Linked DNA regions of Lytechinus pictus. The main gene of each other region encodes a partner of the protein of the gene in region 3 in a complex. Links are inferred from orthologs where the notes say so. Each region holds a gene or a part of one and is shown on either strand. Other genes may lie near its edges.

Region 1 (11,198 bases), on a different chromosome or scaffold from region 3:
GAAAAGAGGAGAAGGTCTCGGAGATCGAGTGAGGAAAGAGGAGAGCGAAAAGAAGTTTCACTAAAGTGTAGCCAAGGGAAAAAAATAATTTATAATTAGGAATTAATTCAAGGATCAAGACAGGGGCGGGGGGCAGTGTCAGTAAAAAAAAAGAATCAGTCTATGGTCTATAAAAACTCGATCTCAGCTAATGTGATCGGTTAAATTGATTTTTTTTTTCTTTCTAGAGCTCTTAATTTTCAATTTTCCCCAAGTCACTCAACTCAAAGGAGAATGGTCGAGAACAGAGCCAAGTTAGAAGAAAACTCTAGCTGGGGTTAATTGCGAAAAAAAAACACATCATCAGTTACTAGCTGAAAAAAACCTTTTTTTGAAACTTGAATAATGAATTAATTGAATTGTAAATTTCATCACCTCTATTTTACGTGTTACGAAAATTAGAACCCCCGGCCCCTCCCCTATATAGTGGGTTTTCGCCCAGCGTCGTACGACGTAGAACGTACGTGTGCAAAAATCGCCAACTTTCATGGAAACAGAGGCCCGAGTGTTCTTGAGCTCAAATCACGGACGGTTCTTCCGCAAATTAGCGGGCGTCCGCATTAGAACGTAGGATTTGTCAACAGCCGTCAACAGCCAATCAGATCGCTTGTAGAGCGAGCAAGCTGAGCCGATCGATGTAAACACATTCGCCCATCGCGTGCATGCACATGTTGTACTCTACTCTGACTACACTGATAGCTGAAAGCTTCAAAACATGGACTCGAATGCGAGTTTTTCGGTGAGTACCATTTCAATTATACTAAAATCAAGCTAAGTATAATTTCAAAATGTTACAGTAGAAGTTTAAACGAGTATGATTATTGAAATATGATTGAAAAGCCGTTGCATGGCTCGGTCGACGACGCGACTGCAAGACACATGGCACTGCCAGTTGTGTGCACATAGTAGGAACATATACAATGCACATGTTGGCGTGTCAACATTACATGCCAACCATGCCAGCCGGTCGATCCGGCCGCGTTCAGCGATTTGCGAAACTGCTTACAAGCGAGAGTTGAGCGCGACGGACGCACGAACAAAGAGATCGTTCTACGTCGTAGATAGCGTCGTACGACGCTGGGCGAAAACCCACTTATATCTCTATGACGTACACGTACTCGACTCGTACTCAAAAACAGGAAGTCGTTTGTCCCGCCGAATTTAAAGATTCCGCGGCGCGCGACAAACAAGTACGGTATATGGTACGGCTACGTGTACCGTATAATGATTAGGAGCTGGACGTCGGACCGGGAAGTTTACTGTCTTACTAAAAACTAAAGTTCAGTATCGAAATTGATGTTGCCTTGCGCTATTTTGTGAGTATGTAGTCTAATTTCATCTTTATATTATTGACGATGTATTTATTATTATTAAGAGGGTCTGAGAGTACTATTTATTCCTTCAACTGTCAGTGTCGTGATCTTTTTGAATAAATGAACGGATACGCGGATACAATTTTACAAGTTGCCTGTCTTAATAAGAAAGTTAGAGTCGGTCCCACACGCTGTAAATTGTGTATCGGACCCAGTCCAGACTCAATCTGATATTCTCAACAAGCATCACGATCACTCCTAGTACCAATGAGGTCCAACATTACATGTATGGACCTCATAGGCGACATCAGTAGTATTTTTGGTTAGGAATCTCTGAGAACAGGATATTTATATATTATAGGCCTATCACAAGTACAAGCTATATTCCTTTCTCTTATTTAAATTATAATTTTATAGTGTAAATGCATCGTTAGCAACAACAAAAAAATGAAAGAAATGAAGGGGAACTTACATTTTCACGGCTTTTTCCTGATTTTCTGGGCAGCTGCTCTTCTCTTCTGACTCGTGATCGAAGCTGATATGAAGATCACGTGATTCGCGTTCTCGTCAGCTGATCGGTTGGTTATTCTTTTCGTCAGACGTTAATAATATATATTTTATAATGCTAGCATTCATCGCTAATTTAGGTGAAAGAGATTGAAGTTAAACAGCGCCAGGTCGGAATCATAATTATTTTGGAAGAGTGTATTTATACACTCGATCTCATACTAGGGAGACCGCGCGGACGTCAATTGCATTCCGCCTTTTGTTACACGCCGCACGGACCTTCAACGAGCAGCTCACAAAAATACGACATGTCTCTCATTATTTTGCCATCACAAAACAAAATAGTCAATATATATCAAAATAAGCCAACAACATCATCATCAAGTATATTCTCAAGCTAATCAATGTCGAAATAAAAGAGATCATGGTGTTTTATCATGCTTTTGAAGCAACGGAAATGACCCCTCACTCACCGGTTTGAACAACGGTTCGTCAGCGCGAGCGCTAACACACGCAAATTCGCATAGGTCGCATTTCCCCTCGAAATGGTCAGAGATTTTGGAGCAAAATTCCACTTTGAAGCATTTTCGACACTTGATCCTCACATCGTATGATCATGATCTATATACCAAAAGAAAGGAAATAATTTGCTCTGTATACTCATATCGGTTTACAATTCACTCGCTTTCGCCAAAAAAAGATATAATGAGAAGTAACATTCCTTCTGCGATAGCGAGAGTACGATTAAAGTCTCTGTACGTAAACCGAGTCCAGTTTGCATTTTCGACGATGCTGAATCCGATTATGACATCATTTTTTCGCATATCCCTGAGGATCATGTGTCGGATTGCAATTCAAAATACCCTTACCATGCGAGTTTTTGAACAGCGAAAAAAGGGCGTGGTAAACCCGATGACGCCAGATTAAATACGCGCTTTCTTAATGACGTCAAGCGGTCCCGCGCCTATGGTCACGTGCCCAACCGGCGCGAGAATTCAAAGTTCATCGCGGGTGTCGCTGTGCGCAATGCTATGGAGTTTCAATGCAATTTTGTCTACATGTACTTTGTGAATGATCGTGAGTGTATCGCTTACACACATGCACGTGGATGATTTGCATTTGCACATGTAAACTTAGTGACTCATCACTGGTGTAATCATTCAACCGTGCATGTATTTTGATCTGTCCATTTATCATCCCATGTTTTACATCAATCTTTGAATTATCTTTGGTCGATATATCAAAGTCTCGCGGCAGCAATCATATTCAACCAAAACAACAATGTAAGTGGAAGAAGACAGTCCAAATAATATTTCATCAAGATGCATCAAGGCCGGTGTGCTACCGAGACCTCGACATTTTTAAATATTTTTTTTAATGAATTTTCGAGCCGGCCAGACTTTGATATATTGACCAAAGATGATGCAACCAGAGAGAGAGAGAGAGAGGGGGGGTTGAGAAGAGAAGAGAGGGAGCAGAAAAAGAGATAAGTTAGATGTAAGGGGAGAGGTCGGAGTAGCAGTGTGATGAGAATTTATGTAAATTGGGTAGAGACCTCGGGGTAGAGACAAGTTCACGTTGTGTAATTGAACAAAAGAGATCAAGCAAAAAAAAAATTGAACGTTGACCATGCTAAATTATATAGTCCTGGATGATGTCAAAAGTCAGAAGGCAGGTGCAATCTACCCCCCCCCCCTCCACCAACCTGTACCTTCATCGGCACAAGAATTTAATTGATAGAATAATAATTTTGCTGTCCGTCTTCGTATATATCCCTCGAACTTCGAAGGATGATAAAAAAAGCCGTCTCTAAGTCCAAATATTTTGCCCATTTCCCGGACTCATTTCTTCATACTTACAGTAGAAAGGCTCTTATAATCCTATATAAAATGATTCCACTTATTCCATATGGAGAGTGTCCTTTTTTCAACCATGGTGTTGGAGGTACTTGTATACCTCTCCATGATTCAACTCTGATCGTGATTCAGCTGTGCATGGACCTTTCGTTGGAATATCCGTTACCATGGTGACCGGCGGCCAAGATAACATGCAGGTGGTCATTGTTTACAAATATCTGGAGACTGAGAATGGAGGTTAAATGCCGCGTCATTCCCAGGGGTCCATGTTCTGAACATGGAAACGATTGTGGTTGAGCCCCGTTCCCACGGTAGTTGCAATGACGGAGTAACTATAATCATATACATGTAGTAAGTTCTTTGGATCCCAGTTTTCAAAGCCTTCACAAATCATAGGAAATTTATCAATTACAACTCGCTATCTACGACAAATATAATAATGACTGTGTTGGAATCAGTTACAACCAAAATGCTAAATAAAAAAGAGGGGTTAGTTATATTTGAAGGGGTGAATCCAGGAATTACCAGAACGGGGGGGGGGGGGGGGGGGTACGCTGTTTGGACGAAAAGAAGTTGGCTGCCACTGTGAAGTTGACAACTCGATAATTTTCTGACAATCAAGCAAAAAGAAATCAAAATGGAGTGGATGGAAACTTGTCGCCCCCCCCCCCCCCACCAGCACTGATTAAAAGCATTTAAAAACAATTTTCAAGAAGAATCAACGAGATCACGAATAAGAAAGAGAATCACACATTAAAAAAAATCAATTACATGCAGAATTGAATTCATAGAACAATAATTTTGCTGGCCGTCTTCGTATATATCCCTCGAACTTCAAAGGATGATTAAAAAAAAAAGCCGTCTCCAAGTCCAAATATTTTGCCCATTTCCCGGACTCATTTCAGTCATTATTTTTCTTCATCTTAATGCTTACAGTAGAAATGCTCTTATATATAATCCTATATGAACTGATTCCACTTATTCCAGATCGAGAGTGTCTTTTTTTTCAACTATGGAGTTCCCTCTCCATGTTTCAACTCTGATCGTGATTCAACTGTGCATGGACCTCTCGGTCCATGAACTGAACATACGTTGGAATGTCCGTTACCATGGTGACCAGCGGCCAAGATAAGATCATTGTTTACAAATATCTGGAGACTGAGAATGGAGGTCAAATGCCGGGTCATTCCCAGGGGTCCATGTTCTGAACATGGAAACGATTGTGGTCGAGCCCCGTTCCCACGGTAGTTGCCATGACAGAGTAACTATAATCATATTAGTTCTTTGGATCCCAGTTATCAAAGCCTTCACAAATCATAGGAAATTTATCAATTACAACTCACTATCTACGACAAATATAATAATGACTGTGTTGGAATCGGTAACAACCAAAGTGCAAAATCAAGAAGGGGGTTAATTATTTGAAGGGGTGAATCCAATTATCAGAACGGGGGGGGGGGGGGTGGGGTTAACGCTCTTTGACAAAAAGAAGTTGGCCGCCACTGTCAAGTTGACAACTGGATACATTTCTGACAATCAAGCAAAAAGAAATCAAAATGGAGTGGGTGGGAACTTGCCCCCCCCCCCCCTCCCACCAGCGCCTGATTAAAAGCATTTAAAACAATTTTCAAGAAGAATCAATAAAATTGATAAAAAAGAGAATCACACAATTAAAAAATCAATCCCATGCTGAAAACTACATGCTGATTCTTCTCATTCTTTGCCTCGCCCCCCCCCCCCCCCCCGCCCCATCTCGTCTCGAATTTTGGGGAATACCTTTTTCATGAGGTGATGATTAAACTTTCTCTGTCTTAGCAGATACACAACTCGATAATGTACTGCCACATCACATGCAAATCACAGACAAATGCCAGACTCTCTCAGACCATGTCAGACATAAATATAAACAAAGGAAATTTCCACGCCGTGTCGTGAGCCACGTGGGAAGGTACATTGAATGGACACACTTTTGATGCACACAAATAATCCCAGACACATTTCATCATAACCTCTCAAGCATTGGTTCTGGACGTTACGATCGCGTCTCTTTCCCCCTCTCTCTCCCTCTCTCTTTCTATGCATTGCATTCGCTCGTGACATGGCTTGACCTAAACCTGACCTAAACGCACCCGTACGGGTGCGTAACTCGAACTTTTGAAGACAGTCGGGGTCAAAGTAATACATATTCATGACCGTGCAGCGTAAAAATCATGGCGCGCTGACATCATTAGCAACATTCGCGGAGACTCCTCCTTACGAGGGAGGCCTTCATTTCCTGAATTGGACGTGAACGCGTATCGTGGATGACCATATTTTGGGAGGTTTTTGAGCTATTATTGGCGGAAAAATGTCAATTTCTCTTCGCTTGTAACTTTGCAGTAAAATGGAATAACTTCAAGAAATTCGGCAGTTGGTATGAGTGAAATTTTCCCTATAAAATGATTACAGTCATAGCACGTAAGTCCAACCCTATCCAAAGATAAAAATTAGGTCCGGTCTCCCTACTCATACCTGACGTAGACGGCGCTATTCAACAAATGCACAATCTTCAATATAAAAAATAAAACAGAAAGAACGCCTTGAACACAGGCCAAAATGCCTAACGATTTCTCCGCGGCATTAACAACTATCGTAAAGGGCGCTCCATTTATCAATAAAGATGGATGCTAAGCTGTCTATGGCGACAAAATTTGCCGCAAATATTTACGAAGAATTGTGAGAAATGGTCTGAAAATGCAACAAAAGAACCGGTGAGTACCGATTAAACATTATCAATTTATTTAATAGAACATATTTAATTACTACAATGTAACAATTTCTAGATAATATTGCTTAGTTCTAAGCTAGGGCGGCCCAAATGCGCGTGAGTGGAGTCCCAGTTTATTAGCACGGGTAAGTACGTATAGGGGTGTCGCCTAGAGTGATCACGATATCTTCATTTTGCCAGCAGATATTATCATAAAAAATATGAGTTCAATGTAGTACTTTACTAGATCTATAGCATTTTGTCGTCAATCTGATGTGGTAAAATTAGGGATATTACTAATAATAAATCCTGTGAGGGAAAGAGGGTGGAAAGTGGGGTTAACAGAAGGAAACTGTCTTTACCTACTCACCAGACAGGAGTTGGTGCAAGGCACGGTGAAAATAAAGATAAACCAAAAAGCAGGCCCAAAGTAACTTGTAGATATGATTACTGGTGTGAAGTATTCTTGGTGTAGATGGCTAGTATTGGTGTGATGTATAATTGCCGCAGCTAGTTGAAACTCGAAGGGCGAAGCAAAGGTAGATTTGTGTAGAAACACAGACGTCCTCGTCTCGCACCGGTCGACTATCAAGTGATCATCAGATCCCTTGGCTGGCCTGACTATGCAGCTATGCTCAGACCTGAGTTGTGCACCCAAGCATGGATGAATGCACAGGGCTTGGGGGTTTGGGTCTATTGTTGTGTGCACACAGCCTCTAGCCCATAGTACATGTATATTCTATGCTCCAACCAAGGAGGTGGTTGCTCCAACCCATCCCACAGTACTACATACTATGTAGGGAGCAGTCGCGCGTGCCCCAGACTGTGGTACATTTTACCACACTGATATAGCCTAGGCCTAAATATCTTATTCTTAATTAGCTCACCTTTTAAGTTTTGAGCTTGAGTTTTTGTTATTATCATTATGTTAATTAACTCTCCACAAAAACTTTGGTCCGTGAAGTTAGGTCACACTTTTTTAGAATGGTTTTCCAGCACAGCATGCATTCGTCTATCGGAATAGAATTTTGAGATCGCGATACCGGCGAAACCCCTTGGCCTTGACCTAGAATAGATCTATCTAACAGTTACATGCAGTAGAGAGGCGCACGGCCAATATGGGAGACTCTCTCCAATAGGGGAGACAATCTCCCACATTGGAGACTTGCTTTGCAAAAGGACAAAAGAAACGACACCAACAAAAGCATGATTTTTTCACCCAAAATTTTGTCTCACTGAGGTCAGAAGCCCATTTGTTTTGTGTGTGATTGACAACAAAAATCCTTATCAAAACAAAAGTAGACGGTGAATTTTTAAAGTAGACGGTGAAAAAGGGTAATTTTTCATGAGGAATCTGCTTATCACATTTTTATTTGCCGCCAAGTTAATCTTTTTGCAGCAAATGTAAACAAAGGAAATTGGACTCCAAAACTGGAGACTGTCTCTGATATTGGATACCCAAATTCTTTACAAAAGTCTCTGATATTGGAGATAATCTCACACATTGGAGACAGTCTCCAATATTGGCCGTGCGCCTCTACTGACATGTAGATCTAGGGCCTAGGGCTAGGCCTACTTCACATTTTCGTCTTATAGTTCATGATAAACAAAATTGATATTGCCGTCATAATGTGGAAACTTTTCTTGAATTGGTTTTGTACAAATTGTGAATATTTTGTGAACAAATTTAAGCCTGATGAATATTTTTTGAAAGTCCGCGCAGTTTAGACACCCCATCATACATGCCGCCGTGCACAGGAAAATTGAAGGCCCGGCGCATGCAACACTTGCATGGGATTGCGCAAATTTAAGATGGCTTTAATAAAATCAAGTCCTTCTACGAAACTGAGCGAACTATGTGAAGTCAATTTCCCCTAATATCGTGAATATCCCTAAAATATTTTTTTCTTGATGACGAAATATGGAGCTTTCATGCCTTTTCCTATTTTTTTCGTCTAAAGAGGGCATGCGATTTATCTTCATAATCATATCAAAGACACTACAAGTAAAAGACTAGATCTAGGCACTAAACTATTTTACCCGTAAATCGATGCAAAGCGTTACGCGAAGTCGGCCAAGTGTCCAATCTTTGTATTGTAAGACTTTGATGGAATGTTTGTTGACAAACGAACATAGGTTCGTACTGCTGGATTCGTTCAAGGCACGTAGAATTTTCTATTTTTTGTTTAATTTGTCATCGCTCTGGATGTGTTACGTGGCTGTATGGCCCCCATGGAGTACTTTTCCTCTAGCTTGTCTTTGTGGCAGCATACAAAGAGCTTTATCCAGCTTTTTTTATAACAATGGATTAAAAAAAGACACCAAATGTTGCCAATTGGAAGAACAAATGTTGATTGGGTTTTTGAATAACCAGTCTTGTATTGTACATTATATATGATCAGAGGTTAACGCCACCATCATGGATTCTAAACGCAAACCAGGGGGCTCTGCTCGAGGGCCTGGACCCCAGTCAAAGAAGGCCAGGGTCCAGGACTTCGAAGACCAGGACCCATCGGTATTCGAGGAAGAGCTGGCCTTGATGGAGCAGATCGAGTCTGAGATGGATTCTCAGGGGACCAATGGATCTGTTGGAGGACCAGGACCATCAGTTAACAATGGTGAATACATTTATATTATATTGACTGGCCTTGAGGGGTACATCAAATATGTTGCCCGCAACAGAATCATATTGGCCCGAGTCTTTAGACGAGGGCAATATGGTCCTTTTATTAAAAAAGGGCAATACATTTGTTTCCAGAAAGAAGTGCCAGTCAATAATTATTGTTGCCTACAGCTGTATTTATGTGTAATTCAAGCTATTATTTAGAACAATTTATATACCTGTTTGCTTATAAATAAATACCTAATTCTGATATTAGGTTATTCAAAAAATTGGCGAAGTAATCCTTGCCATGCAATTGTGATGTACATGTACCACGCAGTTGCGCTTCATGCATGGCGCGCACATACACTAAATGCGTACAAATCTTGCGCTTGGGTTTGATTAGCTGGGAATGCCTATGCACTTGCCGCGCATTATCTACAATGCGTTGGTTCACAAACTGGTTCCAACCAGATTTTGCAGGTACTGAAATCAGCGAACAAAATCGCCTCCTACTGCGCAAGCGCACTAGCAGAAATCTGGCCAATATTGCCCTCATGGCGTGTTTTCCTTCAGCAAGAAATTTACCCACATTGTGCTGCACTCACCCCAGGTGAGGTGAATGGGTACCTGCTTGGAAGAAATTCCGTGAATGCTTGAGCACCTATAGGTAGCCGAGCTAAAGCTGGGGTAGTAATAATAGCAGGGCCCGCTGGGAGAACAGTTTTCGGAACTGAAGTGGCTACCCTGGTGAAATATACTGTTTAATTATTATCATTATTATAATTACTGTTTGAAAATATTTTAACTTTATATAAAATGACCAATGCCTTGCATGTTTCCTGAACTACTATTATTCTTATTATTTTTTTTAATCAATACTTCATATACATGTAGGTGCCAATTTGCAGAGACAGCAGAGTACATGTCGGCATCCTAAGTGGCCTCGCCCTCCGCTGGCTCCGATCGACCCCGCGAAAGACTCGATCGTATTCCAACAGATTGATCTGGAGCATTATATTGGTAAGTATGTAGCCTTGTAGGGATAATTTTGCCCGAACGTCTGCATGGACCAGACATGCCAACCGTTCCCTTTTTAGAGTATTTGTTCCTCTTTTTTTGCTATGAATACACCAATACTTTTTTGAATGATTTGTTACTTTTATTTTAAATCTCCAATCATGGAGTATGTGTTACACACAGCGTGTGACTCTAGCGCTGGTCCGATGGGCCCAGACCGGTAAAAAATCACTGTCGGGCCAGTAACTTGTTGCATGAAAAGAACAAGTAAATTCTTGCCTACAAGCACATGTTTAAAAGGGTGAATTATCAAGTTTTCAAGTAGAGTCATTTCACATGTTTTTGTCACAGATCTCACTACAACAGGCTGGCAAATTTTAAAAATACTTTTTTTTGTCAAAAAATACTTTTAATTTTTTTTTTCCTTAGATAAAGAATACTTTTTTTGTTGTAGAAGGTTGGCAGGTCTGACCTACTCATTACTACTCAACTAAGCAAATTTAATGGTAAAATATGGAGAACTTTATTAATTCTTGTTTTATGTATGTGAGCATGTGTTCAATATTGAATCTTTTGAAAGTACTCCTAAATTCCTTCTTTTTCATCATACATGTATTTATAAATATATTTCGGACATCGCTCCCAAGCTCTTAGAGCTTGATGATCCTTTCAATATATTATTTTTGTGATTATACTAATGACAAATGTTTGTAATATGAATAAAATCAATCAATAATATTGATCAATATTTCAGTGAAAGGGCTAGTGCTGTATCTGAATCAGACACAACAAAATTAATGAATCTTGAAATCAATTTTAGCTCTATCAAATCAATAAAAAACAAATTGAATGTTTCTATACTTGTGTAAGATCTGATTTTAAAAATGAAAGTTTTACACAATTTCTATTATTGAATATTTATAAAACTTTAGATGGTTTTAAATAATAATAGTTATGATAATGCATTTCACTTTATGTACTGTCTTTTTGTAAGATACAAAGAAAAAATTGCGAAATAATTGACTTGTAAAAATAGGTCTAAAGAATAAAAGCTAACAATTTCTAACTAAATGTAGATATAATACATAAATTAGAATAGGTAACTGTAAGAACAA
Region 2 (10,374 bases), on a different chromosome or scaffold from region 3:
ATCCTATCCATTTGAATTTGTTTTGATTTCAAATAAAATTGATACATGTAACAACATATTGAACGTTTTTTTTATGATATGCAGACTTTATAGATTAAACTTACGATCATGAAAGTTCATCTGTGTTGGTTGAAAATAAGAAAAGATTAAACTTTTGCTCTCAACCCAAAGAAAAAATCCATGAATTACCTCAAAATTTTTGGCTGCTAACTGCAACCTTCCTCAGCGATGACCGAAGTAACCCAATCTGACCCTGTGACGTAGCAATCGATAGTCGGGTTGTATCGCCCTCCGTCCCTATTGAGAGAAGGTTTGAATGCCCGGATGTAAATCGCTTCTTTCACACCTCTCTCAAATTACTGATTCCTTGAACATCGAAGCCCTAGCTTCACTTCTTAAGTATCGCAGCACATTCACATCGAATCACCTGGACATTAACAAGGTACAAGTGCTGGGGGCCATTTCATAAAGCTGTTTGTAAGTTAAGAGTGACTTTAAGAACGACTGGTGATCCTTTATTGTGGTAAATGGTATATTCATTGGCGATGGTTACGCACGTAAGAAAGGTTCACCAGTCATTCTTAGAGTCGCTCTTAACTTACGAACAGCTTTATGAAACGCCCACCAGGACAGGGTGCTGCGGTACTATTAGAGAGGGATTATTAGGGTTAAACTGCATAATGTAATTATATGAATTCGAGATTACCTCACAAGATAATCAGATAATGCATGTAATCGGTGTCTTATTTGTGTGTTAACATCAGCTAAAAATAAGCACTTTTTGAGAAGTTTGTTTTACATTTATGTGGTTGAAACCACTGAACCTAATGCACTTATACATGCATGTTAGATTCTTCATCGATCCATCTAGGAATGCATGTATGTTATAATGTGCAGACTTTCAGCCACATTATCCTTTCATTGATTTTCTTTTGATACATAATTAGAAATATCTATTACAAATATCAGGGGCATGTTGTGCTAAACCTGACTTGGATGATGGTGATTGGTGAGTTCTGCATTTAATGATGATGATTATCATCATCACAATAATTTCTTGAATTTGGGTTATTTCATATATATTCATTCGATTGATTTCTCATCTTGTTCAATGGCAAATGTATTCATTATATAATGGAGTTTGCATTTTTATTTTGATATTTATATTTGTAATTTTAGTTTAAAAAACAACAACAACAAAATTGTACCGTTTGTTAGACATCTAAAATACGTATAGGCCTACCGTAGCCCATCTGTTGCTAGATTTCTTCTCTTATTGACCTGGTTCCAAATGTTTAGAACATGGTTTAGATATTTAGAATCAGGCCAATAATACACTTTCTTAATCGGGGCTAATTAGATATTCATTCAGAGATATGATACAAAACTTAAAAGACAATGACATGCGAAATATTATTTTTTTTACAATGTCAGTTTTTCTTATCTTTAATGATATATTACCTCTTTTGTTCTGAGTATCAAATTTGCCATCACTTATATTTTTCAAATATAACAAAAAAAGGCTGTTAATTGTGAGACAAATGTTCAAATAATGGAAAAGTTGTTAGGCGGTAACTTATTTAATTAATTTGAATAATCTAATAATATTCCAATAATATTCCAAAGCCTAATAAATAGTTTTGGACAAAAATACTGTAATTCAAGCAAATATATTTCAAATACTAGTGCAACACATCTTTCTAATCACCTTTTTAAAGATATTTGGATTTCAAAATTTAAGTTATTAAAAATATTTCCCCCTTTCCTGTGAAATGTGATATTGTATGAAGTTAAATGCAACTCGATTCTATCGCAGTGCTACTTATATCGTTAAGAATTATTTTGTCAGTATTACATGATTGTGTATTCTGATTTTTGTTGAATGTTGGTTTATCAACTTTCAATAATAGATCATTATCTGCATATAATATCCCTGCGAATCTATATGTTTTAATATTTATTACTCTCAGTGTATCCATGTACATGTAGGTCAGTTCATTCTGTAAGTCTATGGCAGAATTATTAGAGTTTGTTCAAACTTAGACCGACAGAGCTTAGCAACATTTATGTACAATTTCAATGAGGCATTTCAAAATCGTCCAAATTCTGGATATATATTTTGTTGTGTGGCTGGCTATCAAAAGCTGTGGGCCAGTCAAAATGATGATGATAATAATAATACTAATAATAATAAACATAGCCTAAAAGGATTCTTGTAAAAAGTTGTACATCCAAATTCTTGACATCATCAGAGTAATATGGCATGATATGGTATCAGAATTTTTCATTTTTCAGGACTTTGTTTGTGCAACTTTGGGAAATAATCTGGTGAGAGATGACTTGTGTCGTGGGAGTTCATGAACACAAGTGTAATATTTGTTTCACCACTGAACATTGTCTGAACACTGTAAACAATATTGCCGAGCTGTGTCGTGTCATGTCTGAGCCAAAGTTGAATAATAATTCATGTCTGTCATCTACTTAATTACTCCCTCCATGTTCGATATCTTTCGTATTTCATACACCTGAAGGTCTCACATCCTATATGCCACTGTATCCAACAATTAATGTTTGTATGAATTAATATACTTAGAACAAATCACAATTGCACTGTTTGGAATTTGTTTCTATGTGTGTAGTAGCATGACACTTTGAGGAGTGTTGCAAGAATGCATTTATGGTGTTAAACCATAGCAAATGAAATGATACTTTCTGTTGCAAGATTCAAACCTACAAACAGTTGCAAGACTTAAGATTAAAGTAAGGACTTAAGTTTGACTTGCAATTGAATGCATTTTTGTGCACCATCCCCTTCATGAGTCTTTATCACCTGTGTAGATTATGATCATCTTTTTTTTTTACTGGAGGATTATCGGTACTTGTATATATTAGTAAAACTATAAACTTTCATCATCATATATAATGGCATATGCAGTATATTATATGTATATTTGTAAATTATTCGATTACCATGTGCAATGTAGCATGTAATGCCCAATACGTGGAAAGTAACCCTATATAATATATCCAGACTAGCATTCTTCATTATTTTCTATCTTTCTTTTGTTATATGTGAAGGGAAATTGATTAATTTAATAATTTATACCGTTCGGTTTGATAGAGTGAATCAGTTACCATCAGTTATTAGTTAGGTGCTTGATATTACAAATGGGAGAGAGAGAGAGAGAATGGTGTAACTGAATTTTATGTCTACTGCTTGAGAATTCCTGATATACAGTATTTAGGGAAAACTGGGGGGGGGGGGGGAGGGGGTGCTTTTCACAAAGATTGATTTTAGTATGACTTAAAGGGGTGTTGCAAGAAACTTGCGATCAATGGCAAGTCATTTTTTGGTCCCTAAATCAATCATATGTCTTGCAGTTAATTGCAAATTAGTGATTGATTGCTAATTTGCTCCTTGAAATAAGAAGTTTACTCTGGTTTGCTACAGCTAACGTTGATCTATCAGTTGTAAAATTGCAACAGAACATTTGCAATTGATCGCAAATATTTTCTTGCAACACCCCCTTAGAGTCGTACTTAAATGCCTAGTTGCTTGCGGTATAAAAGACATGCAGATCAGATCATGCCAAGATGATGCAGACTACTGCGTATTGATTAAAAAGATTGCGTGTGGCATATCATGTACGTGTTGATATTTAAGTGTGACTCTAAGTCATATGTAAATCTTTGTTAAACATCCCCCCCCCAGGTTCTGTTATTCAAGTGAATTATATAGATAATGAAAACAGAGATTTGATTTGAACTGTCTTCAATTTTAATAATAGTTTGTGGACAATCAAGGCATGTTCTGGGCATGCAATGATGGAAGTACCTTGTCCAGCTCATAACATGGAATGATTATTATGCAGAGTCCACCATTTATTATGAGAGCATTCTTTACTAACCAGTGAGTCATTGCTTCGCATGAACAACAGCCTGTTATTAAAATAAAAGTTAAATTTTGTTCAACAGTAACATTGTGAGATTCTACCTACAGACTCTATCCTGACATAATTCTGTTGATACTAATTCATAAAATATAATATTCCTATTTTAAATGATAATTTATTATGTCTTTTCATGGTTTAAATATCTTTTTAATTCTATCAATTAAAGTACATGTAGTTAGTAATTAGTTACAAAGTATGTTCTCTAATAGATAATAGAATGAAGATTTAAAAAACCTGCCAGGCTTTGTTGTGCTGAGTTTTACACTAGAATGGGGAAAAAACAACAATTGGTTCCATCAAACAATGTTTTACAGATAACTTGAAACATGGGATTTCTGTTCTGTACTCTGTTCTAATATTTCCCTTCATGACGAGTGTCTATTATATCAGTTACAAAGATTTTAAATTGTCATTTATGTTTGTTTACATTGAGAATGTATGTTTCAAGTACATTATTTTAATTTGAGGATCAGCTAGATTGTGAAATCATATTCCACTATGGGATAGTTCTCTACCTAGCATCTGTTTTGTGTGTCTAAAGTATTTTTGATCCAGTTTATCCATTACCCTACCTACTTGTGCTGTAAAAATGCAATTTCAAGTTTTCTTGAAGATTCAGCGATTAAATTCCTGAAAAAAATGATTTTTTTTTTTTAAATGGACATTATGTGTTTATTTCATTGTGTTCACTTGAGTGGCCCTTGCCCCCCGCCCCTTCTCCCTCATTCGTATGAGAGAGAAGGCTCATTCTTGGACATGCAAACTCACTATTATTTTAAGTTATTATGATTCATTCAAGTCTTATCAAATCCACTGTTCTTCCCCCCCCCCCCCACCATAAGTGGTCTTGAATACGAGAGAGAGAGAAGTGATTGAGAAAAGTGGAGGCCCGTGTTATATTTACAGGTAAATTTGCATTTGTCGACATTTCATGAATCAACACTTTTAGACCAGATGATATTCTTTAAGTCGCCAGATTTCTGAGGTCATGAAGGATGTATTTTTAAAGGGGGAGTTCACCCTGACAAAAAAGTTTATTGTAGAACTATCGGAAAAATAATTGTAAAAATATTGGTGAACGATTGAGGAAAATTCCTCAAAGAATAAAAAAGTTATTAGTCTTAATTATTTGATCTGTGACGTTATATGCAACTGGCAGCTTCAGTTTCCGTCACATTGTATGGTAAAAAATCAATGAAATGTTTTTTTCAGAAAATTGAAAGTGGTTTTTAATATAGCTTCAGTATATCAATACACAAATTATTTCACAACTACTCCTACAAAGAAAATAAAAAATAAGTCATCAAGAACCATTAACAAATTAAATTTATGCATTTTATATTACATACCATAACGGGGCATTCAGCTGCTTGTTTATGACGTCACAAATCAAAAACTTGAAATTCTAATAACTTTCTTATTTTTGAATGGATTTTCTATAAAACCTTCAATATTTTTCAATTTTTTTTCTGCTTTTTTTACAACAAAGTTTTTTTTTTTCAGGGTGATTGAGCGAAGAAGGGATTGGTGTGCAGTGTACAAGGGAACAATTTTAAAAAGAAAGATTGTAAGCAGGCGAGGCTGTAGGATAGTGCGAGTCACTGTTCTTAATGCCAGTTTTTAGTTACAGTATTTCCGCTATTTATTGGCGAAATACAGTAACAGATAAGTGAAATATATTAACAAGCTATTTTCATTGACTGACCGTGCTTTGGCATGATAGCAGACGACGCTAACAAGGGTAGATAAAGAATAGACAGTCTTTTCATATATCCAAGTAATCGCAGTCAAAACTTCATTTCTTTCTTTTTTTTTACTCTTTAAGATCACGTTGTTAATTGTTATCATTGTCACTGTTGTACAATTATAAAATTCGATCAACAGAGCTATGATAATACACACTTAAAACGGGATATCTGAGCGAATTCATTGGGAGTTCCATCGACAGTCTATTATCTTAACTCATAACTTTTAAATACCCACGCCACATGTTATGACATGTTGTTGTTGTAATCAGCTGATACCTGCCAGTCCATTTCTGAAGTTTGTAGCACATGATTCATGAAAACATCAACGATTTCGATCTGAAGGTAGAAAGTTAACCTCTAGCAAAAAATGTCGAGCAAGGCAGTATCACAACAGCTAATCACTGATCAATTCAGTCAGCAAAAATCAGGACGCATTCTTGAGAAGTCAAAGGGGAAAAGCAAGCAAAATGTAGCTGTTCGAAGCCCCGCAGCAAGCCCGAGGAAATCAGAGAGAACCATCGAAGGTGAGTACCAAGCGGTAGCCGAAATGTACCGCGTAGCCGACATGTACCGCGTAGTCGATTACGATCGAGAGCTGTAGTGTCGAAGGCCAAAAGACCGGTGTTTATGCCAAAAACATTTAAATATGTAAACATTCTGTTGTCGGGCTTTTACTATTATCATATTGCATTGTCGATTGTAGATTATCATAATTTGTCGCAAGAAAAATCAAAAATTGTTTTAACTCAACTCTTGCCACAATGGGAGTACCGTACTAATATTTCAAGTTACTTTTAGATTTAATTTGTTTTCTGCAATTCTTTCTGTAAGTTTTACTTAGTGTGAAGTTACTTCAATTGTTAATTCTAACTGTTATTGTTAATGGTATTTCCATGGATTTCATAATGCCTTGTTGGGTATGCTGAAAAAAGAAAAGAAGATCGCATTTCTGGCTTAGAAATCTACCTTTAATTTTATTTATAAAAAAATTATAATCCAATGTCATGATTCGATTACAGAATACAGATCTATGGGATATAATGTCTTGTGTGTGTGTGATTCCTCATTCTAACAGTATGTATACAATCGATTATAACGTAGGATTCTAAAGTTACTCTGAATTTCTCTCAATTACATACAATCTATTTAATATTTTGTTCATTTAGTTGAGAGTGCTGAAGATCTTATCAGAAAGACAAATCTAAACACACTCCGGGAATTTGATCTGGATTGGAGATATGGACCTTGTACGGGTAGGTTTGCCATATGCTTTCACATTAATTTTTAATATGTAATGAATCTAGTGATAGCCAAAAAGAAGGCATGAAAATTCATTCAAATAAATATCATCTATATCCAGTGATGGAGCCCAGGGTATGTGGCTTTGACTTACAAAGAGATACAATTGATATTAATCTCAACTACATCAGTATCATAATTTTCATGCAGCAGTGCACGCACCATCACAAAACAGATTCAAAACAGAATTACAGTCATTTGGGGGTTACTAAGGGTGAATACCCCCCCCCCCCCAACCCTTGCCGCACTACAATCCACTTTGATACGCTACCAAGATGGAATGCGTGGCTCTTCAGTAAATTCAATAAGTTAATGGCATAGCTCATTGAAAACAAAGGAGTGCACCTATTAGTCCATACAATGGTGCATGGGTGATATTTGAAATACATTTTGATCAAACATGCATTCTATATAATTGGGCCACCAGTTTTCTGTCGATCATGCATTTGATCAGATCAACAGTACAGTACGTGTGTCCTTCTGAGACAAACTCAATGGTTTCTGAGCTATGAGGCTGCGCTTATCACTGAACATTTCATAAAAGTTGTTATATAACAAATTTGCAATTAAAAGCTCCTAGAATCTTTCAATCTAATTGGCTGATCATGAATTAGTTATCAAAATTGTGCATTCTTTATTGTAACAAGTCTTCATGAAATGGGACCCAGATGCCGAGGACAATTTAGGCCTCCCAAATGTTGTTTATTATTATTATTATGTTATTTGGCAAAATATCAAACAAGTCAAATACAATGATAAAAAATAATTGTTACAATAACACAATGATAATACAGTTAACACAAAAAATGATTAAACACTGGATTCATACGGATGAGCTGCCAGGCATTGGGCAAAGTTAACCAAATAACTATAGTCCACAGACCGCCCTAACCCATACCCCATCCAGGTGAATCCACTGTAGTATTTTCATGTGAAATAAACATAACATGCATTTGCATTTAAATTTACATATATATGAAAACAAAGTATTAAATTACTCAGAATCTCAAAGCATAAAATCATGCAAACAAATATCAATAAATACACTGTATATTAGCCTACAAGGTAAAAAATTAAATCAAAGGGAATATGCTGCGAACAATTATCTAAATCACTTTTGGTTGGCTTTGACGTGTGGGTCGGTAGGAGATTGTATAAATTGCAATGAATAATTAAAATTGAAAGTACTGTGATATCTTGGCAAGCAACCCAGCATATATTCAATTTATATTGCATTTAATGTAACATGCTAAATACAACCCCCTGAGATTTAAACTGCAATGAACATGCAATGAACGATACTGCTATTGGAATATTGAAATATTGAAATATTGAAATATTGAAACACGATTGGATATAAATAATGGCCAGTAGTTGATAGAAGATATATTATATATAAAAAGAAACGGTTAAATACATCATAATAAAATATAGATAATTCTTAAATACATAAATATGGTCATATCAAATTTTTGACACTTACTTAGAATTGACAAGATAGGAATTTAGGTGATTGCACCATGTTTAAAGAGACCCAGTAAGGATAGAGTTCCTCAGGTCACAAGGTAAAGAGTTCCAGAGTCTGGGGAACTCATGAATTGGGCTGAAATGCAACCCATCTTTGCATTTAAAAAATCAATGTGGGAGATGATGATATTGATATCATAATTTATAGTACCTGTTGTTCGAGCAGGTTAATGAAAGTGCGAGCAAATCACTTAAGAAGTATCTGGACTAATCTTTTACAATGTGCCTTGTTGAAAAACTTGTTTTGAAATTGATCCCTTTTGCAGACATGCCAACTGTTCCCTTTTTAGAGTATTTGTTCCTCTTTTTTGCTATGAATACACCAATACTTTTTTTGTATGATTTGTTTCTCTTTTTTTTTTCTGATCATGGAGTATGTATTATACACAGCGAATGACACTTGCGCCGGTCCGACAGTCCCAGACCAGTAAAAATCACTGTCGGGCCAGTAACTTGTTGCATGAAAACAACAACTAAATTCTCACCTATGAGCACATGTTTAAAAGGGTGAATTATCAAGTTTTCAAGTAGAGTCATTTCACATGTTTTTCTCACCGATCTCACTACAACATGCTGGCGATTGTTATGTTGAGCCAAATTTTTTAAAATACTCTTTTTTTTTGTCAAAAAATACTTTATTTTTCCTTCTAAGAATACTTTTTTGGTTGTAGAAGGTTGGCAGGTCTACTTTTGAATGTCATACATTCAAGTTCTTATGGAGTACATATCTGTCTTGAAAATCCAACATTTTTTTACCTTTGACAATTGCTCTGGACTTCCCTTTAAAATGAGAATTGCAATGTGGTTATTGAATGGTTAGGTTAGGATTAGGGTAATGTAATTGTGTTAGATCTTGGATTGATTTTTGTGTGCTGTATGGAGGGGGGTAACATGATTGTTGTTAATCATGTATTTGTATTATTGTTATTGATGTAGGAATCACTCGTTTGGAGAGATGGGAAAGAGCCGAGAGCCATGGTCATAATCCTTCACCTAATATCAAAGATCTCATTTTAGAATATGAAGATGATGAGGAGTTTGTCCAAAAGTAAGTTGAGGACTTTCTTAGTACCCCCACCTCATTTCTATTACTAGTAGTTTAGATTTCTATTGTTTCATTATCTTGTGCAATGTTCATTTATAATATAGTTCATGTATGAAATTAGAACGAACTTCAAAGCTGTTTTCTTCCTTGTTGATTTAGTTTATCCAATTTGGATTATAATTCTTTACTATGATACTGAAAAATTGAAGTTAATAATTTCAACATATAATTTACATTGATTCCATATATGTGTACATATATTATATATTGTAATTTAATATTGATTTCATTCATTTGCTTATTTTAAAATATTTTGTGTTTTCTTTCAGCATCTGGTCTGGATACCCTCTATGAATTGCCGTCACCTACCCAGATACTATAACTGGCTGACATGCATGTAAATTATGTGACTGTGCCAAGGATTGCAAAAAACTCTTTGTGTCGCCATGTACATGTACATTCCAACAAAGATCAAATGAACTCCAATCTGAGCGCAACGTTAGGACTCATCTTACTAACAGATCATTCTCAGATTCAGATATGCATATGTTCTCTCTTTCTCACTTTCTGTCTCTCTTTCTTAAGTAAAATTTGCCATTACATGTAATGCAGATTTTGACATTTTGCCCAGAATCATGTTACATGGGATGGAACTTGAGAACTAATTCCAGTTATAAATCTGAAGTTTTAATGGCATTGGAGATGTTATTGTTCATTTGAATTCAAATAACTCTTGGAAGAGTGGCAAAATGTGAAAATTAAAACTAGTGATATCATAAGTTTGAAATAAATTTGGATACAT
Region 3 (10,942 bases):
AAAGACCGGTTTGAAATTTTTATGTCAAAATTAGATTGCGCAGAAAAATTTGACAAGATTGGTTCGTGATACAACGACCGTGCTTACTCGACGTCTGGCTCATGAGCATTTCTTTGTATTCTTTTTTAAGATTCTCTCACTGATCCCTGAAATGAGAGTAGATTCAGATTCACATGGGAATTTCTGCGTAAATCGTTTCTGATATGTCTGAATATTTATTGTTTGTAATCTGTCATGCATGAACGATTTGCTATGCTGTTGGTTCTAAATTAGAGATGAGATTCCACTCTTGCCATGAGAACCAAATTTATAGTAAAAACATATGTAATAATTGTGGAATCTATCTCTGAAAACAGGTTCCCTTTTTGTTGGACACACTGTATGACTAGTATCTCAATAGCTTGGTGCACATTTACATGCCAAAGAATACATGTACTTCATAGAACTGTATTTCAGAATCAACCTCTTCCCCATGATGCGGCTGTGTACTTGAAATGCTACTTTCAACATCATTGGGTTCCATTTTACATTGTAGAACCAACCTCGTAACCGGATGAATGTGCATTTGCTCAAAATGATAGTTTCAATGTCCTTGAGTTGAAATTTCACCTCTTCGCCAGGATGTAGCTAGTAGAAAGAGCTCCAGATACTTCAATGTAGAACCATCGTCATAACCAAGATAGCTATGTACTCCAGATTCCAGATGTTACTTTCAAAGTCATCAGGTTGTATATAATAGCCAACCTTTTCACCCTGATGTAGGTGCCTACTCATGATGAATGTCATCGGATTGAAATTTAAAACCAACCTCATCACCAGAACGTAGCTACGTGCTCAAGGTGATACTCTCAATGTCATTGGCCTGTATCTTGGCGTCGACCTCCGCCCCAGCGGCTCGGAATGAGATTTCTGCATCGTACGACACACTGACCTGGGCACAAGTGGCATTCCATAACCATCCTTCTCCTCCGCGCTTGTAGATCGTCACTGCCACCTAAACAAATGAATCCAAAGTAATTTCAGAGTCATTCAAAACTAATTGCACATTTTAAAAAATATTCATGTGAAAAATGACGTGGTTTCTCTCAAGACGGAAAATTCTACACATCAAACAGAAGTCCAAAAATTAGGATTAGGCCTGATAGGTAAATATAAAGTCTTTGCATACTGAAAAAACAAAAACATTTCATTTGATCCAAATCATTACTAAACTAATAATGAACAAGATGAGGATGCTAAATCCAATAAATCAAACAAATACTAGATCTACACAGTATTATTTATTTAATAATATCATACAAATGTGTAATAGCCCAAAATATTGTAATCACTCAAGCAGACCCATTGCAATATATGCAACAAGATTATAATTAATATAGATTATACAGTAAATTGCACTAGAACAGAAATTATGATAACTGGGGGTGATATGGTTGATAAAAGGCAAGTTGATGACTATTAATTAAAAGTATTAATTAAAAGGGATATTTACTTGAGGAGTGAATCCCATGACTGCCCAAAGGGATCCGAGGACTGAGCTACGCTGATGCTTGAATTCCATCCGAGATGCTGTCTTCCTATTCAGAATGAGGTCTTTATTTCCCTTGTAGTCACCTAATAAATGAATAACAATAATGCAATAACTTCTGAAGGTTAATTCCCATGGCAAAAAACGAATCAGTATAGAGGCTTCAGGGTACACCATATTTTTTTTAGTGTACAATTCCTGAAAACAAGAACAAACAAAGAACATTCTCTTGAAGACGACAAGAACACACTCGTCGAAACGTCGAGTTTGAGTGGTCCTTTTCAGGACCAACACTTGCCCAAGAAAGATACATGGTGTACAATGAAACCTACTACACTATTCTTCTTTGCCACGGAAACCTTCAGAAGTTACTACAAGAACAAACTTCCCGAACAATCAAGTTTGGGTGGTCTTACAAAGAGTTGCGATTGATCCGATCAATCACAACTATGGACAGCCATGCAGCAACGTCAACATCTAAAATGCATGAATGTTCAAAATGTTTTCTAGATATGACGTAAGGTACATAAATTCATTGTTTTCTTGACAATTTGGTGTGTTTGCCTTTGTTTACAAGGGACATTTTGCAAATTTTTTGTAGGAAAAATTATGACACTGATGGATCTCCATAGAGTTACAATTGATTGGATCAATCGTAACTCTTTGTAAGACGGGGCCCAGGGCTCCGTTGGATAAAAGTTACTATTATGGTAACTTTGTCATCCAGTCAGTGGCAGACCGTGACCCAGAGGAAACAAAGCATTGGAGGGGCACAGCATTGTTCACAGACAATACAGTGCCTCTCCAATCATTGTCTCCTCCGGGTCACGGTCCGCCACTTCATCCAGTGGTAACTACTTGCACCATGGGAACGCCGATCAACAGCTAATTAGAATCAAGGATTCCATGCAAGTTACCATTGGATTGCAAAGGTACCATAATGGTAAATTTTACGCAATGGGGCCCAGGAAGCCTCTTCACTGAACAATGATGCACTAGTGAGCGATGATCAAAGTTCTAAAATCGATAAGAAGACTTATGAAATTGACCATAAGAAAAAAAAAGTTGGTACATTCTCCATAAAGGACTATCAATAATAACAAAATAATATTCATATAAAAAAGGTTTTACTTAGAATACAGCATTTGGTAAAGAGATATTCACAATATTATTCATCACAGTCAAATTAATTTCAGTCTTTGATTTATTTATTTGCTGATCATCAATGTAATTACCGGAAATTAACTTGAATTGTGAACTTCATTATGAAGGTAGTATTGACCTTTAGAAGCGAGGAAGAAAAAAATAGCTAACTTCTCTCACAAAATGATACAAAAAGATAGGTTCAATTGGATTATCATCTCATTCGGTGCATTATTACTTTCATGGTATCTACATGTAGTATTCACAAATTTCATACAATATTCAAGAGCAGAGTACAGAGTGACAATAATATTACTTCATCCATTGAATTGCTCACCGATTATTTGTTTTCCACCATGTAAATGCACTATGTCCCAGGTTCCTATTTGGTTTAACGCATGCCTGGCCGATTCCATAGCACTGTATGATAACTGACCTAAAACAAAGAGAAAGAGATAAATACTGTACTTATCCAGGATAACTTTAATCTAAAGTGACCTTACTGGACCCGTTGGTAAATAATTCTGGTCAAATCATTGTTTGAAATAAACAGAGCTAAGTTCAAGCGTTGTGGATTTGAGTAGTCTAAACACTATCTGGAAATAAAAATTATAGACTTCAACAAATTGTATACTATATTTGTATATCGATTGTAATTGTGTACCATACTCAATCAGACTCAGAAGCAAAGTCCAGATGGTCAATCTTTATTTCACTGCATCTCAAGAAGGGAAATTAACTTGACATAAAGAAAATTAAAGAAATCAGAACTTATTGGAATAGTTTGTATACATTTACATTGTGATCAAAGCCTATCTTTTTGGTAGTATAGATACATGTTTACATATTTGTCTCAAAATCTCCAAGCATACATGTACTGTCTACTCTCTAGGATAAAGATATAGAATGACCAACACCAGAATTTTTTTTTTTTTTTTTTTTTTTTTTTTTTTTGGGGGGGGGGGGGGGGTACAAAAGAGACTTGTATGCCCCCATTTTTAAATTTTGTGGATTTTGTTTTTGCTTTGAGGGAGGTACAAAAGAGGCATATGCCCCATTTCCCCCTTTTGAGGAGTTTTAAGTATTATTATTATTTTTTTGGGGGGGGAGAACAAAAGAGGCATATGCCATATTTTCACCCTTTTGAGGATTTTCATTTTTTTTTTTTTTTTTGGGGGGGGGTGTACAAAAGAGGCATATGCCCACAATTCCCCCATTTGAGGATTTTTTAATTCTTCATTTTTCTTCTCTTTTTTTTTTTGGGGGGGGGGTGCTTCTGATTGTGGTGACCTTTGACCACATTTCTCTTTTTTTTAATAAATTTATCATCAACGAGTTCTTGCCAAGGTAAATCCTGGGTCCAGCCCTAATCTATGACAACTTAGATGGAATTATATACCTGTGATAAAAGAAGGGACGATAGACCCGGCCACCTTGCCTGTGTAGCTCGACTTCAGTGAATCCAGGAACAACGGGTACCTATCGGGGGTCACGATCTCATTCTCTTTCCACAACGAATTATCCAACTCCGATTTGGGATTCATCAAAACTACCCTGGAGAAGAAGAATTTCTCTGCCAGACAGGCTTCATTCCTCAGCAGATTGTTCCTGATTAGCCGAGTCTTAGATTTGAGTTCTTGGAGGATATTAGTGTGTGATTCATCGTAGGTCACACTTGATCGAGTGTTAGAGTCTTTGACGTTTTTTTGTCGGACCCATGATTTGCCGTTTTTGCTCAGTGATATCTTCCCAGACCAGTTTTTGACCTCAATGCAGTAGATTCCATACTCTGTCAAAAAGAGAGAATACACGTGCCATGAATTTGAAAATATCTCTTTCATCTGCCGATGTAGTACTAAATCAAACAATTTCTTTTAAGAACTCAATTATTCATTCATTTCATTATATTTTCATTCATCTTCATGTCATCTTTTATTTTATATCATTTGTATTGTCACTTTTTATTGATCTTTTTCAAGTTAAATAAAAAAAAAATATTACTATCATTATCATGGTACATGTATTTGTTGTTTATTTCTTATTTACATGTATTTATTGTTATATAAAATGGACATGTTGACTTGCAGCCCAAACTGGGGGTCAATAACTTAAAATACAATATGATTACAAGGCAAGTTTTTGCAAAATAACATATAAGTACAGTATACAGAGTTGCATTAAGAAAGGAAATCTACTTGCAGGATTTTTATCATTATTATCTTAAATATATTTGTTCTTTTTTTTTTTTGGGGGGGGGATTCACCTTTAAAACATTGCAAGGAGCAATTCCTAAGAGATAATATCTGCACATAATCAGATAATGCTCATAATTTGTGGGGAAAAAAGAGTAGAAAACCTATGATTCGTGAAGATGGTTGATGTACACAAAAGTATGTTCTCTTGATTAAAACCCCGTTCAAACAATTTTGAAGTGATCGAAACAAGTACAGTACCAGTCACCGAATCACTATTACCTGTTTCAACCAGAGAACAATAGATTTGGTCCACTGATTCTATTGTTCTCTGGCTGAAAAAGGTAATAGTGAGTCAAAGAATTGTGACTGGTAGTACTATTGAAGGAATATTTTACCTGTCAAAATGACAACATCTATTTCATATCGTCTCGTCTGGAATGTATCGGGAACCCTAAGACCTTGGTAGATGCACGAGGACGGCACCCCAGCTCTATGGACAAGGTCTTTGATTAGACTTTCTTCTGCTTGTCTTCCGGCTTTCACCGTTTCATCCTCATGATGAGAGGCCGGATTACTGGCCTCCTTGGCTTGAACTAAACGGCTGGTGAGATTAAACATGACCTGCAAGAGCACGAAAGGAAGAAAACAAATAATTAAAGTTAAGCTTTTTTGAGATATTTCCTGTCAGTTTAGAAATTATATTTAGGCTACTCATTTTCTTAAACATGATGTGTATGTGAATTGCCCCTGTTATGTTTGTAACCGAGATGTAAACCCAATTTTAGATAATGAATGAAAAAACAAACCACCAACAAAATTTATCAATATCAATTATCATAAACAATTATTGCTCCAATCAACTAAACCTAGTAGATCTACTACTATTTTTGTTTCAAAATTAAAAATAGTATAAACTACTTATCAAAGGAAATTCCTAAACCCTGCCTTACATATTATAAATATAGTTAAACGGAAAAAAAGAGAGGTAAAAATCATGAAAATTCCTGACTTGTCAATCAATGTTTACGAAAATATGAAGACAGTAATCAGTATATAAAGTCAAACTAATTAAGCTAGTATAGATCCTTGTCTGTGTCCAACAATTGGCAGGTTTGTGGAGAATGATAAATTGGAAACACACAGTCTAAGTCTAAAAAAATTACAATGCAAAAGTACCCTAAAAGTAAAAAAACTTAGCCAACCGGGGAAAGCCCATGGCCTTGGCAAAGAGACATTGCGAAATGCATTGCAATCCTCATCTTCATCATCGACTCGTCTCACTCTCAGTTCGTAATTCGAGCAGGCAGGCCGCAGGCAGCTGCAGTTTGTTCATGATCATGATAATAAAATGATTATACTTACGACTTTTAAAACAGAAATTGAAAATATAGCTCTTATTCGTTTTAAATCATCCCGATCTATCGTATGGTAACGTTTGAAGAGTGCTGAAATGCCTTATTTCAAACCTGTTGGAACAAAGAAAGACAACGATCGCCATCGACCAGCTGCGTGATGTAAACAATGATGACGTAACCACAAGGAACAAAACATTATTCAATACTATTTATTAAATTTCAATAGCTTTTCTACTCTATGGAGTCGAATATCATTTTGATGTATATCAAAAATATATACAATACATTAAATTATTTATTTAATGATATGAGAGGTAACAATTGATTTCGAAATATTATTCAAAACTATTCTTAAACAACGACTTTTACCAAATTACATATTGGACGCGGGAAAATCCCGAATTCGCAGAGTTCGCTTGATTAACCTATGGCTATGCCGTGCGATTAACCCCAGTGCGCTCCCAATCCTCGGCTCTCCATCTGGCATCGATTTGACGAAGCGTAGCTGAGGTAGGTACGTTAATTTGAAGTTGCGAATATTCAGAAATAATACCATATTTTATGATACATGATAGCTCATTCGGCCTCGCGATCGAGATTTTTAGGAATGGATAATTTAGCTTGCCTTGCTTCATAAAAATGCAAACATGAATTTCAGTAAGTGGGACTGCAGCATGCAGTGACTCTAGTTTTATTAAAGAAAGACAAGACTTCTTCTTCTTCTTCAAGCTACACTGTCTCCTTCAATCCTGAAGATTCTTGCAGTATTGTAGTACCGGGGACCGGCAGGTGCAATACACCGGGTGAACACCCTCCTCTTTGACGAATAGTGTTTGACTCACTTTGAGTGCACGAGCATGACGAGTGCGACTGAACCGTTAGATCATCTAATAATCTACTTTTTTTTGTAATTTATGTTTATTGATCCTTTTCATCAAAATATACATAACAAAACATTCATGATATAATGGATCACATATAAAACTAAGTTCAGATAACCGCATATAAAATAACATGTCTAACTCTAACTTAAGTAGTATAAGATAAGAAAACATATGACTAGGCCTATGTTTGTTTACAACAAAAGAAATTCAGGCACTTGGCCTGGCCTATAAAAAAATAAACATAACAAAAACAGCCTTCTGCTTTAACGCCTCTTTAAAGTATTCAGAATGATAGCCCACTTGCCATCATGTTTTCCTAATTTTCATTTCCTTTGTGCTATGGTATGTTCAACAGTTTCAAATGATAAAAGAAAGTTACAAAAATGGTGGAGAGTAGGTTTTGTTTCGTCACATCGACATCTAAATACATTGTTTACCTGTCAGGAGCAGAATGTTCAATATAAATATATTTCTGGGACTTTGGGGCTTACAGATACCAAAAAGAACATATCTTTCTGAGAGGAAATCAGGAAGATCTAGTGAAGCAAAAAGTGTACCAGTTAACATTATTCCAAAATTGGTTAACGTCGTGGCAAGAATAATAAAGATGCATTAGAGTTTCTGGTGATACTTTACAAAATGTACAAAGTGTATCTGTTACCTTGTTAATACGGAATAACCAAACCTTAGTAGGAATCAAATTATTAAGAATCTTGAATTGTAAAGCTCGAAGTCTCGTATTTATAGTAGTACGTAGAGGTAGTTTTAAGAGTTCTCTTACTTCTTTCTTGTTGAAGCCCATAAGTGTCTTTTAAATATGTAAATATATTCGAAATTGATGGGTTATTTTCCTTCAAAAAAATGTGTAAAAAATATACTTTGGTACACCTGTTACTTCTCTAGTGATGCCATCAATAGTTAAAGTTGGAATCAATAAAATGTTGTCGACAATGGGATGAAAGCTTTGAGATAGAAAAAATACTTTCCATTTTGATGGCATAAACTTGTAACAAATGTTAAGCCTTTATTTTTAGCATCTTTCCATCTTAGTGGTCTGCCATACTCATCCAACATATGTAACACTTTAACAAAACCTTTGTTTTTTTATCTCTGGCTTATGAAAAGATTTTCCATTTTGTAATATGCATCTATTATTCCATATTATTTGGTCACATATTTTTATGTTTTTTGAAATACTGTGCTCCAACTAATCATGACATCTTTATACCATTCAGGAATTGTCAGTTTTAAAATATTAAGATCATAATTACAATTAAATATAAAGTCACCACCTACATTTTGAAGCAGTGTCAACAGGATAATCTTCCATCCCTTTGAATTGGATGTCAAAACTCTAGATCTACTACTAACTGTTGATAGATCTAACATTTTGGATCTTTATTCAATATTGGAATTGAATAAAGTTGAACTGAACTGAACTGAACATTTCTAACACATTATATCTATCAAGGCCAGGCCAGGAATTCCAGAACATGAAATTAAATTGAGACTGAGAGAATAAACGTTGGAGACTAACCGTGGCGTTGTTATTAGATGATAGATCCAATGGCAATGCCATGGGCTATGGCAATGGATGATAAATGTGTAAAAGTTTGAAAACTGGTGAATGAAATGAATTAAAGATGCAATGGTTTTTTCATGGTCATGATTTTGAAATTAATCATATGGTTGATGATGATGGTGGTGCGGTGGTAGTGGTGGTGGTGATCATGGTGGCGATGAAAAAAATTATTTTACAAAGAATTTGGATGAGAGATAGACCTGGAAACTCATCAAGATGATGATGGTGATGATGATGATATTGTTTTTGTGTATTCAGATCAACTTAATTAGCTATTGACATCACAAAGTTATGAAAGTAATATTAGTAAAGTACATTTGCCTTACGCTAAGAAAAATAACCAAGCAAATTATCTAAAACCTCCAAAATGAGTAACAAACAGATTTCAGCTGTCAAGATTTTGATCACTCCAAAAAAAAAAAAATCATGACTGATGACTCTTAATCTTTTGGGGAGATCAAGATACTATTTACACACATGAATCATATTGATATTAGTTTTCTATCTTAAAATTCTTTTGGACGAAGTACATGCTCAGCAATTTTTACAATCCTCTCTTTTTTTAATTCCTGATAGCTCAAGACAAAAAAATGTTACCTAGATCTAGACCCCTATATCTTTTTAGGAGATAAAGACAATTCACAATGTTGATCATCATGATTATATTTCCACCTCAAAACTGTGTGGAGATATGCTTTGTTGTTATTTCTAGAATCTATCAACTTTAAAGGCGTGTTTGCTAGGAGCCAAGCATTTATGACTTTATTATAATGCCTTGCTTATCAAATATCTTCTATTGTGGATACATTTTTACTATCATATCATGTTCATTTTACATGTGTTCTAATCTTTGCAACAAGGCAATAAAACCCTGGATTGGCAAAATCAATAATAATTTTCCTCCATTTTCAACAAAACATATTTGTTATATTTTGTGTAATACACAGTTTTCAAGGATGCATTCAGGATGAAGTCACATTTGTGGTTTAGCCTGACAGTATTTGATGCAGATACCTAGAAAAAAAAAAAAAACTGGCAGTTGTTGCTAATTTGAAACAAGTAAAGTTGATTGAAAAAAAATCCAAAGAACTCATTGTCTTAGATACATGTTTAATGGATGATAATCAGGACCCCATTGTATTAAATATTAACATTGTTGTAACTTTGCCATCCAGTGGTAATTTCCTTTAAATACTTGATTTGGGTTGGCTGTTGAGCATTTTTGGCAAAGTTTCTGTTATGCTGTAGGCCCAACAGATGAATGAAGATACCTAGTCAATTATACTGAATGATGATTGGTTGATGTAATAAGACTGTTTTTTAAGCACAAGTACTTCAGTTGAGTAGACATTCTTGATTTGTTTGTATTTAGGATTTATTTTAAACATCTATTTTTAAACATCTATTTTCAATTCAATAATATTCAAATATTATTATTATTAATTCAATCAATCATTAATCTATTCAAAATTTTAGTGTCTATTGTAATCTCACAAGACCCATATTCCTCATTATCAGTTTTCTTATATTGTTTTGCAGGTTTATGATAATAAAGACAGAAATGGCGTCGACCGGACAAGAAACTTTTCAACGTTTGTCTTGCGACTACGAAAATCTGTCTTCTCGATTTATGCTGCAAGATCGGAACTACCAGAGACAGTATGCACATCTGTACTCAGAACGGTTGACTCTTATGAGACCTGCCCTTGAGGAATCGGCTAGGAGGAAATGGGGTAAATGTCTAGTGTGTTAAACTTAAAGCGGAAGTTCACCCTGACAAAAACTTTATTGTAAAAATAGCAGAAAAAATAGTTTTAAAATGTTGCCGAAGGTTCGAGAAAGCTCCATCAAAGAATTAGAAAGTTGTTAGAATTCCAATTATTTGATTTGTGACGTCATATGCCAGCAGCTTTAGTTCATATATCGTATGGTAAAAGTCAATGAATTGTTGTTTTCTCATAAAATTGAAAAAGGTTTTTACTGTACCAGTGTACCTTCAGTATGTCAATAGACAAATCATTTCTCACCCGTTCCTAAAAAGAAAACAAAATAAGTCATCACGAACCATTAAATTAAAATTTATGCATTTTATATTACATAACATATGGGGAAGCTGCTCGTTTATGACGTCACAAGTCCAAAACTCAAATTCTAATAACTTAATCTTTAATGGATTTTACTCAAACCTTCAGCAATATTTTGTATTATTTATCTGCTATTTTTACAGCATACTTTTTCTCAGGGTGAACTTCCCC

Evidence for each region.
Region 1: DNA polymerase delta subunit 2-like (region 3) and DNA polymerase delta catalytic subunit-like share a complex: the UniProt entries of both Homo sapiens proteins name them as parts of the tetrameric DNA polymerase delta complex. The link is inferred for Lytechinus pictus from reciprocal best matches to the Homo sapiens genes POLD2 and POLD1.
Region 2: DNA polymerase delta subunit 2-like (region 3) and DNA polymerase delta subunit 4-like share a complex: the UniProt entries of both Homo sapiens proteins name them as parts of the tetrameric DNA polymerase delta complex. The link is inferred for Lytechinus pictus from reciprocal best matches to the Homo sapiens genes POLD2 and POLD4.

The regions. Positions count from the first base shown.
Region 1 is NC_087253.1:6,219,702-6,230,899, reverse strand, and holds the start of DNA polymerase delta catalytic subunit-like, read left to right. Parts: upstream 1-6,080; 5' UTR 6,081-6,153; coding exon 6,154-6,172; intron 6,173-6,342; exon of another isoform or gene 6,343-6,465; intron 6,466-8,863; coding exon 8,864-9,079; intron 9,080-9,960; coding exon 9,961-10,086; intron 10,087-11,198. UniProt on the Homo sapiens protein: As the catalytic component of the trimeric (Pol-delta3 complex) and tetrameric DNA polymerase delta complexes (Pol-delta4 complex), plays a crucial role in high fidelity genome replication, including in lagging strand synthesis, and repair.
Region 2 is NC_087246.1:32,442,505-32,452,878, reverse strand, and holds the start of DNA polymerase delta subunit 4-like, read left to right. Parts: upstream 1-5,486; 5' UTR 5,487-6,068; coding exon 6,069-6,225; intron 6,226-6,867; coding exon 6,868-6,954; intron 6,955-9,463; coding exon 9,464-9,575; intron 9,576-9,901; coding exon 9,902-9,926; 3' UTR 9,927-10,374. UniProt on the Homo sapiens protein: As a component of the tetrameric DNA polymerase delta complex (Pol-delta4), plays a role in high fidelity genome replication and repair.
Region 3 is NC_087254.1:6,786,072-6,797,013, forward strand, and holds the start of DNA polymerase delta subunit 2-like, read left to right. Parts: upstream 1-6,145; 5' UTR 6,146-6,731; exon of another isoform or gene 6,732-6,735; intron 6,736-10,226; 5' UTR 10,227-10,230; coding exon 10,231-10,420; intron 10,421-10,942. Other genes in the region: uncharacterized protein LOC129269026, read right to left, coding at 827-994, 1,493-1,614, 3,009-3,107, 4,071-4,460, 5,262-5,487, 6,069-6,113. UniProt on the Homo sapiens protein: Accessory component of both the DNA polymerase delta complex and the DNA polymerase zeta complex.